Linked DNA regions of Nothobranchius furzeri. The protein of the gene in region 3 binds, or shares a complex with, the protein of the main gene of each other region. Links are inferred from orthologs where the notes say so. Each region holds a gene or a part of one and is shown on either strand. Other genes may lie near its edges. The genes, in order: akap10, slc15a2 and pdzk1.

The links.
Region 1: the proteins of pdzk1 (region 3) and akap10 are in contact, whole or in part, in a crystal structure (PDB 3TMH), measured with the Homo sapiens proteins. The link is inferred for Nothobranchius furzeri from reciprocal best matches to the Homo sapiens genes PDZK1 and AKAP10. Residues at the interface, in NP_001188254.1 of Homo sapiens: Asn386, Gly387, Tyr388, Gly389, Phe390, His391, Leu392, Asn393, Ala394, Ile395, Arg396, Phe402, Lys404, Tyr436, Glu437, Val440, Ile443, Gln444; in NP_009133.2 of Homo sapiens: Pro655, Leu656, Glu657, Lys658, Ser659, Thr660, Lys661, Leu662.
Region 2: the proteins of pdzk1 (region 3) and slc15a2 are in contact, whole or in part, in a crystal structure (PDB 6EZI), measured with the Homo sapiens proteins. The link is inferred for Nothobranchius furzeri from reciprocal best matches to the Homo sapiens genes PDZK1 and SLC15A2. Residues at the interface, in NP_001188254.1 of Homo sapiens: Asn386, Gly387, Tyr388, Gly389, Phe390, His391, Leu392, Asn393, Ala394, Ile395, Arg396, Gln407, Tyr436, Glu437, Val440, Ile443, Gln444; in NP_066568.3 of Homo sapiens: Glu723, Thr724, Lys725, Lys726, Thr727, Lys728, Leu729.

The regions. Positions count from the first base shown.
Region 1 is NC_091750.1:53,062,395-53,066,399, forward strand, and holds the end of akap10 (A-kinase anchor protein 10, mitochondrial), read left to right. Parts: intron 1-1,003; coding exon 1,004-1,148; intron 1,149-1,353; coding exon 1,354-1,521; intron 1,522-1,691; coding exon 1,692-1,801; intron 1,802-1,890; coding exon 1,891-1,973; intron 1,974-2,325; coding exon 2,326-2,378; intron 2,379-2,510; coding exon 2,511-2,589; coding exon of another isoform or gene 2,590-2,603; intron 2,604-2,680; coding exon 2,681-2,742; 3' UTR 2,743-3,425; downstream 3,426-4,005. UniProt on the Homo sapiens protein: Differentially targeted protein that binds to type I and II regulatory subunits of protein kinase A and anchors them to the mitochondria or the plasma membrane.
Region 2 is NC_091754.1:31,331,385-31,335,034, reverse strand, and holds part of slc15a2 (solute carrier family 15 member 2), read right to left. Parts: intron 2,694-3,650; coding exon 2,611-2,693; intron 2,524-2,610; coding exon 2,257-2,523; intron 1,609-2,256; coding exon 1,564-1,608; intron 1,361-1,563; coding exon 1,325-1,360; intron 1-1,324. UniProt on the Homo sapiens protein: Proton-coupled amino-acid transporter that transports oligopeptides of 2 to 4 amino acids with a preference for dipeptides. Transports neutral and anionic dipeptides with a proton to peptide stoichiometry of 2:1 or 3:1.
Region 3 is NC_091754.1:24,601,004-24,604,754, forward strand, and holds the end of pdzk1 (Na(+)/H(+) exchange regulatory cofactor NHE-RF3), read right to left. Parts: intron 3,441-3,751; coding exon 3,108-3,440; intron 3,033-3,107; coding exon 2,836-3,032; intron 2,253-2,835; coding exon 2,028-2,252; intron 1,953-2,027; coding exon 1,635-1,952; intron 1,077-1,634; coding exon 1,023-1,076; 3' UTR 601-1,022; downstream 1-600. Other genes in the region: si:ch73-390b10.2 (Golgi pH regulator), read left to right, coding at 17-223. UniProt on the Homo sapiens protein: A scaffold protein that connects plasma membrane proteins and regulatory components, regulating their surface expression in epithelial cells apical domains.

The DNA.
Region 1 (4,005 bases), on a different chromosome or scaffold from region 3:
CCTCCCTCCCTCCTCTCCCAAAAATGAAGCAATAAAAAACTTAATAGAATTATTTCAGTCATTGTGGGACTCTAGTGAAATTATTTTACTAGGGGATTTCAATTTAATTGGCTTGATAATTCTACTCTAGCCGAACGTAATCTACTAAATAGTTCGAATTTGTCGCATAAATATATATATATATATGCCTGGCTTACACCATGCAGGCTTTATTTATATATTTTTTATTTCACTATAATTTTTTTATTTTGTTTAATTTTATTTCGTTTATTTATGAAATTTGTGTTTGTTTTAACATTCTAGATTTGTTGTTTGTACATTGACTCTGTTATCTTTCTTTTTTATTGATTGTAAAGAAAGAGGACCCACTCGAAAACGTGATGGCTCATCTCAAGCGGTTTTCATCCTCATAAAATATCAGTCAAAATAAATAAATAAATGTTCTTTTTGTCTTTTCTGCTTCATCAGATGAAGGTTTTCTTTGTTTATTCTGAGCCTCCACCGCAGTCAACACGATACAATAAACACCGACCACCTCTAGCTTGTCCGTCCAGAGGTGTAAATATGGATTACTATGAAGCGGTACTGCTTCTCATGACATAAGTGCCTTTGTGAGACTTCAGATCACCAGTCTTGGGAGGGTCTAGTTGCAAGTACAGTATTCAGCTCACAAGAAGCGGAGTGGGTAAAGAGACTATTCTTGATTAAAAAATATGACAAAGTAATTTATTGTGCCTTTAAATTTCTGCAACAATTAGATTTTTGGTGTTTGTTTTTGCTTTTATTCACTATGTGGTTTTGCATAAAACATCTGGGTGGGTTTTGGCTGTCTGGCTTCTCGGTGTACCTACATGTGTTTAAGTGGAAGTAAACAACTTAAACCTGTGATCGTGGCGTGATTTATTGCTCATTTAGTGAAGTTAAAATGCATTTCCTGCAGAATCAACGATCTATGTTGATCTATATCTGAGCTCGGTTGGTCATCCTTGCCGTTTGTTCGTAGGTATTTCTCACTCCAGGCCACGAACCCTCTGGGCTTTGGCGACTCTGTCCGGATGGAGATCGAGTCCAACATCTGTCGAGAGGGAGGGCCTCTCCCTGACTGTTTCACCACTCCGCTCAGACAGGCCTGGACCACCATGGAGAAGGTCAGATTCAGACATTTGTAAATGTGTTTGTGTGTAGAATTCATTAAAAACCACCATCTCTCCATTAAACCACGTTAATGTACTCCACGTGGATTCAGGAAGCAGATTTTAGGTTGTTTTCTACTTATTTATGTTTATTTAGCCTTTTCTGAAGTGATGATTCCTTTGGACAGTTGTGTCTCACTGACAAATCTCTCTTGTCCAGGTGTACTTGCCCGGCTTTCTGTCTAACAACCTTTATTACAAATACCTGAGTGACCTCATTAATTCAGTGCGGGCGGATGACTTTGTGAACATCAGTTCTCAAGGTCAAGGCGGGCCGGGGGAAAACGACCGCTCCAGTTCAAATGCCAGCGAGGCCTCTCAGACCCAGGTGAGCTCCTCCGTTGCCCGTGGGGATGTTCTCTGTCTGCTGACATTTAGACCCGTCCTGCTGACGTTCTGAGGTTGTGATCCCTCCTCTCGTTTAGCTGTATCCATTAGAAAGAAACTATGTTACCCAGAAGGCTGCTGAACATTTGGTTTGTTGTATCTTTGTTGCAGCAAGGTGCCAAAAAAGCTTTGATCAAGATTCTGAAAAACTTTGACGAGGCGATCACGGTGGACGTCGCCAGTTTAGACCCCGAGAATTTGTACCAACGGCCATACGCCGGGTGAGTTTTAGTGTTTCTACTCTGCAGCCACAGAAAACGCTCGCTCCTTTGTTCTCTCTTCATCATTGTTCATTGCTCCGTTTTCACAGAAAAATGACTTTTGGGAAGGTGAATGAGTTGGGTCAGTTCATCAGGGAGGCTGAGCCAGAACCAGATGTGAAGAAATCCAAAGGTATACTCTTCTTTTTTTCTTCTTCTTCTGATTTCTGCCGTCCTTATCTGTACAGTTTTGTCCTTGCAATGACAAGTCTGTCCTCTCTGCAGCAATGAATATAAACGTCATCTAGCAACTTCTGAAATATTTAAGAACTCTTCTTTTAAAAATTGCTGCTCCTAAATTCTGAGATCCTTCCCTGTTGGGGAAGCAAGCGTGTCGTTTAGTGATCGGATCACTCAGGATGCATGTTGGAGCGAGGGCTGAGTGGGATCATAGTGACTAGGAGTGAAAAAGACCAAATTCTAAATATATTATGAAATATTTTCATTTTATCGATGCTTGATGTTTATGTTTTCTCCTGTTTAAGGTTCCATGTTTTCTCAAGCAATGAAGAAATGGGTCCAAGGCAACTCCGATGAGGTAATATTGAATGTTATTAATAAACTACGTAAATGACCATTGTGAGATGTATAATCTCACACTGTTTTGTGAAGATTGTGGTGATTAAAGAATTTAAATAGTGAAATCTCTGCTGTGGCTCTGATGATCAAGGCCCAGGAAGAGATGGCGTGGCAGATCGCCAAGATGATCGTCAACGATGTTGTCCACCAGTCAAACCACGACAGCCCCGGTAAATCCACCAAGGTGAAAAATCTCGGCTGTGATGGGTGGGATTATGGCTGATCTTCTCCTGAGGGTTTTCTTTTTTTTCTTTCTCGTAGTTATGACCCCTCCAAGGAACCAAAGGACAGGCGCTCCCTGCAGACACAGGCTTAGCGAGTGATGAACTGCGGAAAGACTTCACACTGCAATGAAATGCATTACTCTTAGACGGAACACATCGTTTTATCATCTCCCCATCATTGTGTGAGTGAGTGAGTGAGTGAGTGAGTGAGTGAGTGAGTGTGAGAGAATGTGTGCTTAGGTGAGTGATTGTTCACTCATGGACCAGTAGAAAACTTGAAGTACATCATTGTTCAATCTTCCAGTTCCGTAACACTGAAGATGTTTTCCACCACGAGTGAAGCAGCATCAATCAGCAAGGAAACGCTCGTGTGGACGGAGTCGATCTGCGTGTTTCTGATTAACATCGACACACAGAAGTAGCAGCAGCGTGTCGGAACTATTACTGCTTTGTCTGTCGTACAGCAGACAGGTGGAGGACGTGACAAAAACTGAACTAAGCCCCACTCCTTCATGGCACACGTCCTCACACCTTTTCTAGGCATTCCTTGTTTTTACATGGACCTCCATCGTGAGGGTCGGTCTCCAAGAGCGTATCAATTAAAAGCGTTGTACAGGTTTTGCGATCTTTTCACTCAGTTTAACGAGTGTAATGATTCTGTCATCTCGTCTCTGTTAGTCGTCCTACATTGCCGTTATGTATTGTGGAACATTTTGGCAGTGAAATACCCATGCTCGGACTGGCTGACCCTCTTCATTAATATTAAGGCACCTTCAAAAGTACTCGCTATTGAACCTAAAGTGCTCTGGCGATGTCAGAAATGCAAACTCCATGCCCTAAAGGTTCTATACATATATAAATATAAATGGATATTCTGGTTTAGCCCATATATTAATGTTTGTTTTTTTAATAGTGGTCTTAGTTTTTTAATTACATCACTGAAAACCTAGCTCAGTGAAGAACGGACTGCTGGAAAGAGTGCTCAGTTAATTTTACTTTTTTTATTTCCTTTGAGCCTTACCTAAATGTGGAAAGGAACCAGAAAAAGTCTTGGTACCATGTACCTTTAATGTTTTCTGACATGTATGCGTACTTGGATCTATAATATATTTAAGATGTGTTTGATTTAAATACAAATATTACAAAGTGTATAGTCTCCCTTTTTGTACATCTATTAGAATATATTGACATTCTTTCGGGACTGTTACCACATCTCACCACGTGAGGGCAGTGTTGATTATTTGGTTTCTAGGGAAAAGATACAGTTTGTTTTTCTGTCATAAATTGGCTTCTAATTATGCAGGTTCAGGGAAATCAGTCATGTATAATATTCAGTCTAAAGTAGAACTAAAAAGCACTTTT
Region 2 (3,650 bases), about 6.7 Mb from region 3:
GCTGATACAGTCCCGTGTGTGTGTGTGTGTGTGTGTGTGTGTGTGTGTGTGTGTGTGTGTGTGTGTGTGTGTGTGTGTGTGTGTGTGTGTGTGTGTGTGTGTGTGTGTGTGGCCCGGAGGACAGAGGACAGGAGAACGTGCAGTTAATTAATTAAATAATTTGGTTCTGTACCTTTCTCTTCAGCACAGCCGACAAAGGTTTAAGATGGGTCAGTCCTCCTGCATGCTCAGATCATTCCCTTCCCTTGCTTGAAAAATTGTTCCAAAATGAAAGTTGAACCCACATCTTTTTAATCTGTGAATTCAATGCCGTTCGGCGAGTCTCAAATAAAAATTTGGGCGTCATATTATGGTAAAACAATTATCATTATTGTAAAAAAGAAACTCCAAATAAACTATGTACACACCTGGAATCAAACCCAGGTCCTCAGCAAGAGAGTCAGCCATCTTACTAGGTGAGCTAAAGCACCAGTAACATTTGATGTATCTGTAACTTTTACATCCTTGATAACAGCTGAAACAACGTCAATCCAAAGAACGGTTCGGAGCGAAAATGGCTATTTTGTTGCTAATTTGCAGGAAATATCTAGAAGAAAGTTCTACAGAAAGTAGCTAAGGGTCCTCAGAAATGTAGCTAGGTTTGTCACTAGGCGTTAGGAACAGCGACAAAGTGGCACTGCCTCTCTCTCTGCTGCTAAAGCTACTGATAGCAAATGCTACGGGCTATGCCTGAGCGTGAACGCGCATGAAGCAGCCTGCTCGACCCGAGCAGCTCTCTTTTTCTGTGATTTTACAGAAAAACAGGCAATCACAGTAAAAATGCCAGGGCTCATTCTACAGGACCAGGGCATTGCAGGAGAATGTATGAAGAAGACATTTATTATTTCTATACATGTTTTGGCTGTCAAACTTCCATAATGCCCCTTTAATCTGCTGTTTACCAACTCCACCATTCCCAGGATCCACTGATTACCTCTTTCTTATTCATTTTCTCTCTCCCTTTTCTCACGTTTTTAATCACAATTTTTTACATTTCCCAATTTTATATTTTTGAATCATTTTAATTTGTTTTTTAATTTTTATTCTTGCGAAGCGCCTCATGGGTTTTATCTCGAGAGGTGCTAAATAAAATATACTTTCTTATTATCATTAGCACATAAATACAGGGAGGCAGTGATCCTTTTCCTATTGGACCTGACACCTGAAAATGGGTGTGGTCCTATCTCACAGGAAGGAGCTTCTGTGTCAGGATGGGTGATGCTCACCCAACAGGGTCGATCTCACCTGGGGGGGGGGTGCCACAAAAGTTCATTTCTGCACCTACCTGCATCTGGTCAGGCTTGATAGTGAAGGACTCTCCCTGTGAGCCAACAGGAAAGAAGCAGGTCAGAAGTTTAAACTTTAACTCTGTTAAAGACCTGATGAGTATCTGATTCATCAGTCATAAACAAGATAGTTTACTGGAATAAAACAACAAACTGCAGCAACACGCCAAAAAGTCCACGTCTGATGTCAAAGTGCATTTGGTTTTGATCATTTTGGGTAACGCAAGGAGAATCTTACAAAAGCCAGGTTCATTCTTGTGGCTTGGAGCGTCCAGCGAGAACCCTGCAGGACAGAAAACCCCAATTAGATCAGCTGTGACTACAGAAGAACTGAAATGTCACACCAGCCAGGATAATGGTGAAAAACTGGTTAAACAGCTAACAGGCTTTTCTGGGAATCAGAGTTTGTTTGCATTTTTGGACACTTTTTAAACAGCCGTGAATAAACTGTGAATAAATAACAATCTCAGGACAATAAGGTGCAGGAATGTTGGAGCTTTTAAGGTTTTCTGTAATCGAGCAGCAATTTCAAGGTTAAATTAGATGGGGGGATGAAGTCCATCTTGCCTAGGGCCCCCAAATATCTTCAAATGGCCCCGGCTGCAGGAAATTTAAAATTCTGTAAAACTTTGTTTTCATTCTGATATTTGTGCTAAACAAAGTCATAAAACTGTCATTTTGTTTTAAATGTATCTTGTTCTGTGGCCAAGCAGCAGAATATCACAATTATATTAAAAAGCAATTCTTAAAAACCAGTTTCACTTGCTAATATTAGCCGTTAGCTCCTTTCTAAACTATTTCTCTAAACAGAGGCTGTTCAGGAAGCTATCCATAATATATAAGATAATAAATTCCCACTAAACTGCTTTTGATATTTAAACTGTAGCTCATAAAAACAGGATGTGCAGATCTGCGCTGAGTCTTCCTGTACCTGCTGATCAAACAGAGCCCAAAACATCGGCAGAGGGATGTAGAGCACCAGAACCCGCAGGACCATCCTAATCTCCTCAATCAGGCGCTTCTGTTGGGAAAAGAACACAATAAACGGATTTAATGTTTCCAGGAATTTACAGTTTACGTTCTCAGGAATCATTCTTGAGGAAGGTTTTCGTACCGAGTACTTGTCCTCAGCCCAGTCCAGCCAGTGCGTCCTCTTTGGGGCAGACTTGGAGCTGTTCCAGCGGTTTTTAATAGCAAACTGCAAACAAAGATTCAGAGAAAGCAGAGTGGGCAAACACTGAACTGATTTAAACTGATGTGATTGGTCTGAGACGAGATCACTCACACCGATGCAGTTGCAGACTTGCAACAAGATGTTTCCCTGAGGTGGATTCTTCTTGTAAAGACTGCTGCCAAAAATGAACACGGCTGCGGAGGATGCATGAAGAATCAGTGTTACAATCACATAAGGGTGAGAAACTACAGGATCTAAGCGCCTCGTCATGTTTCTGCGGTTCAGCAACACCGTTTGGACTGGACCGATCCTCCAGTCTCATCCTTCCTGTGATTCATCCCTCTGGTTTCCTTAAATCATACTTTGTTTTTCCAAAAACCAGCCAGTCAGGCATGAATTTCAGAGACCAGGGGTGACAGGGACCAACAGGCAGAGAAAACGGGCTGTCAGGATGCATGAGGATGAGCCCAACTTGTAAAAACACAGCCTCTGCATTAACATCACAGCCTGATGAGGATGAAACATCAGCTTATGAGTCAAACTTTCCTAAGAAGGTTTTCTGCTTTGCACTGCTTCTCATCTGTCACTGTCACATTAGTTTCAGTTCTGGATTTAGGACCAATAAAGCATCCAATCAGGCTGCAGTGGTGTTGTCTCATCGCAGCTCCAGCAAATGTGAGGAAGTGCCTAAATTAGTTCTGACGGGATCATTCTGCTAACTCACAGGCTGCAAAAGCTACAATCACTTATCGGGAAAACTTGCATGATCTTAAATATCAATGGTTTCCCAACCAATGACACTAGGTTTCCAGTCTCTAGAACAGGGGTCCCCAAACTTTTGGAGACCGTGAGCTACTTTTACACAATGAAAGTACAGAAGAGCTACCGCCATAAGATATATCCATATTGATGCTTCCTATGTGTGAACATGTTTACTATGTTAAAAAATGCCATGCTAACTACATCAACATGCATTGTATTCTCAAGTTATTTTCTCTGAATTTCCAATTCATCAATATTGTAAAAAATAAAATTAAAAAGGAAAAGGAAAATAGTGACAATACTTTTTTAAAACTCTAACTAAACTAAACAATTTGTTTTTTAACTAATCAGACACTTTCAGATCCATCCACTTTCAGCCGCTTATCCGG
Region 3 (3,751 bases):
TGTGTGTGTCTAACAGGGGATGTATTTCGTCTCATCGGTGCTGCTGATGCGTATGAGCATGCCTCTGGAGTATCGCTCCATTGTGAGTGAGGTTCTGGGAGAACTGCAGTTTAACTTCTACCACCGCTGGTTTGATGTCATCTTCCTGGTCAGCGCCTTGTCCAGCATCCTCTTCCTTTATCTCGCCCACAAGCAGGCCCCGGAGAAGCACATGACTCTCTGAACTCCCGAGGAATCGCTCCTGGCTCACAAATGAACTCCTGATGCTTGGGCCAGTGTTTTTTTCAGAGATTCGTTTACTCTTGTTTTTACACAAAACCCTGGAAGTCGTGGACTCTTGCAGTATTTTACAGAACAACACTGCTATAAAGAATGCAGATGTTCTTGAAAAACTAAAATTGTATTTGCTATGCCCCTAGATTATATATTTTTGGGTTTTTCAGAAGAGGAATATTGCTTTTTGAGTCTCAGTACACTGGACTATCTGTTTTACATTCCTGTTTAACATCAGAGTAAGAAGGAAAGGAGTGAACACTGAATGTGATCTGCTTTTTGGTTTAAGAGACCAGAAACTCATGAAGTCAGGCTTAACTCAGATGGTATGTTTTCTTTGATTTGTTTTAATAAATTTTATTTCTGGTTTCTAAATGTGAGCAGCATTTCTGTTTCAACATTAAATAAAAACAGCAGAGAGCATAAAGAGAATAAAAAGACCACTCTTAATTGTTAAAAACATCCTGAATTATTGGTTTCCTCTGCTGTAAGAAAGACTTTGATGCTTAAATTTGATCGACAAGCAAAAGATTTCTGATCACAAGCTTTAAAAAAATGTCATTTTTTGTAATCATCTCATGAAACTTCTGCTATGGATCAGATTTTTACAGTCTTTACTGTCTTTTTTCTAGTTTTTACTCATTTTTTACAGTTTTAATCTAAGCAGGATATCAAAAGCTCATTGAGCATTTTGGTTTTAATAAAATTAACATCCGATTAGGCCTAATTGGGAGTGTTTCAAGTGTTCCTCAAAATCTCTCGTCGAGACTTTCATCAGATGAAGAGGATGACACAGATGTAGACTAAAAGAAAAGGAAAAAAGATACAAAAAATTAAATACAAAAGAGACAAAAAGCTAATTAGAACATAAAATGTACACATTCTCTTGTTTTTTTAGAATACTTTCATAAATCCGAACATGATTTGTCAAAAAAGACCAGAAAAGCATGCTTTTTCATTATAGATCTACCATAGATGGTAAACTGGCAGCATATAAGGTTTAAAATCCAAAACTAAATGGAAATGTGTATAATTTTGTGTTCATAATGTTTTGAATAGAAATGTTCAAATTAACATGAAACTTGTGTATTGTTTATAATTTGAGCAACAGCAGCTGCATGTGATTAAACAGATTGCATTAAACGTGCAACACATCAGATTCACTGAATTTCTCAACAGGTTTTGGACTTTTGTCAGTGTTAAGATGAAGAACCAGTTAATGTAGTGCTACATGGGTGTTAGAAGATACCAAATATTTCCACACAAAACACGCAATTTATACAATTTAAAGAGGAGGACTGACTTTTGGATCATTGACATCTTTATAGTGTTGATTACTAAAAGAGAAGAGAAGCACTCACCCTCTGTTTTTCTGCCTTAGGTGGGGTCACAGGCCTGGCCTCCTCCCGTGTCTTCTTGCTTGTTTCTGGACTGTTTGACACGTGGACTTGACTGCTGGGACCTTCCCCGACTAGCCGTGGTGTGATCGTCATGCCTTTGTCCTTGAGCTGTTTATAGACATTCTTGCTGGCCACCAACATCTCCAGAGTGTTGCCTCCTCTGCGTATCATTTCCACGACTTCTGCATGAGAGCTCTTTTCCACATTTACCCCGTTTACCTCCACCACTACATCATCGTCTCCCAGACCGGCCTTGTCTGCTGGTCCACCTTTCACCACCTGAGAGAAATGGTGTTTTCTGTCTTGGTTGTGAGATACTAATGATGAGAAATTGAGTACTTATGTTGATCTTACCTCCTTGATGTACTGACCACACACACCCTCGATGCCGTTTAGGTGAAAGCCAAAACCAGAAGAGGTCTTCTCCATCCTACACAGCTTTGGTCGAAGGTCTTCTATCGTCTCTTGAACAGATGTGGATGGTTGAGCAGAAACAGGCATTTTTAAAGCTTCTGTGTAACTTGGTGGTAAGTTGGAGTCTTTCTTTTCCTCCCAGAAGAGCATAGGAGATATTTTTCCCTTTGAGAAACAGCATGACAATATGTTATCTACAGTAGACATCTAATGACGAACAGTGAGTCAGTGGGAGCCTAGAAATCCAGACTAATAGCAAAAAGGTTTGCTTTGCAGGTCGGTCTAGCCACGCTCCATAGGAACGTCAGCGGGTCTATCAATGGCCTGATCAGTTTTGTGTCTTGCCAATTACAACACTTCAAATGTGTTATACAGGCTTAACGTTAGAGCTGTGATGGAGAAACACTACAAATATGGCGTCAGCTCAGAAATGGCGCTCATTTGAAATAGCTTTAGCATCTACTTTGGGATATGAGCAGATAGAGGTACTTAAGTCATTTATTTCAAAGAAGGATACATTTGCTTCTCCTTCAACGGTGTATGGTGAACTGCCATGCTGACTAACATTTGTAGTGATGATTACATCATGTTGTTCGTTGCTCTGACTGGTCCTAGCACTGTCCAGTTGCATGCATAGACAGTTTGAAAGACAACCGTAGATTTAGCCTCATGGCTGGGTGGTTTCAGTGACTCGTGACCAGACTTTTACAAATATAAGTTGGCTTTCCAGGTTAGGTCTATGGCTCACCTTCTTATACATTTGCTGTGTTTCTTTGTCCACCACAAGGAGGCAGCATTTGTCTCCACTTTGCTTGATCCAGTCCACCACTTGCTCATGACTGTAGCCGTCCACCTCTTTGCCATTCACAGCGACAACTACGTCATTCTCCATCAGACCACCTTTTTCCGCTGGACTGCCTTTATCTACTTCCTTCATGAAGTGTCCTGAAAGAAGTAAAGGAGTACATTATTAGGCCATCACTCCGGAGTGAAAAGTACAGCATGTTACCATGGCCTTGCCTGCTTGGTTGGGCTCCTCTCTGAGCAGGAAGCCATATCCATCTGATCCTTTGGTCATTTTGACGATGCGTGGATGGAGAGGAAGATACTTGACTGTTGCTCTCCACGAACCTAATTTTGCTTGTTTGCTCTGATGGAATTTGTCGGTTTCCTCATCAACCAGCAGAAACATCACGCTGTTGCCCCCCTGTTTTATCTTGTTCACTGCTTCCTCGTGGGTGCATTTTTCAACGTTCTCACCATTGATTTCAATTAGACGATCTTTGGCACGAACTCCTGCTTTGTCCGCCACACCCCCCCGAATCACCTCAGTCATGAACAGACCCTCCTCTCCTATAGTCATAAGGCATATAGATAGATAAGCAGATAACATGTGTTGCTAAGGGTGAGAGTGTTGCTGTTGCTGATGGAAAACCACATAGGAGTGGTTTATGTTATCATAGGTGTGTTCTGTTACTCATCTAACAACTTCAGAGTGAAGTACAAGTATAAGTCATAGTAGCATGTAGGACAACTCAGATATAGGGTCAAAGTAGTTCAAATGTTATTGGTGTACTTCTCAAATGAAAAAGACAAACCCAATCATAGCTTGTGTTTCAATAGATCATTTTTTTCTGACTTAATTACTTTATGAAAATAAATAA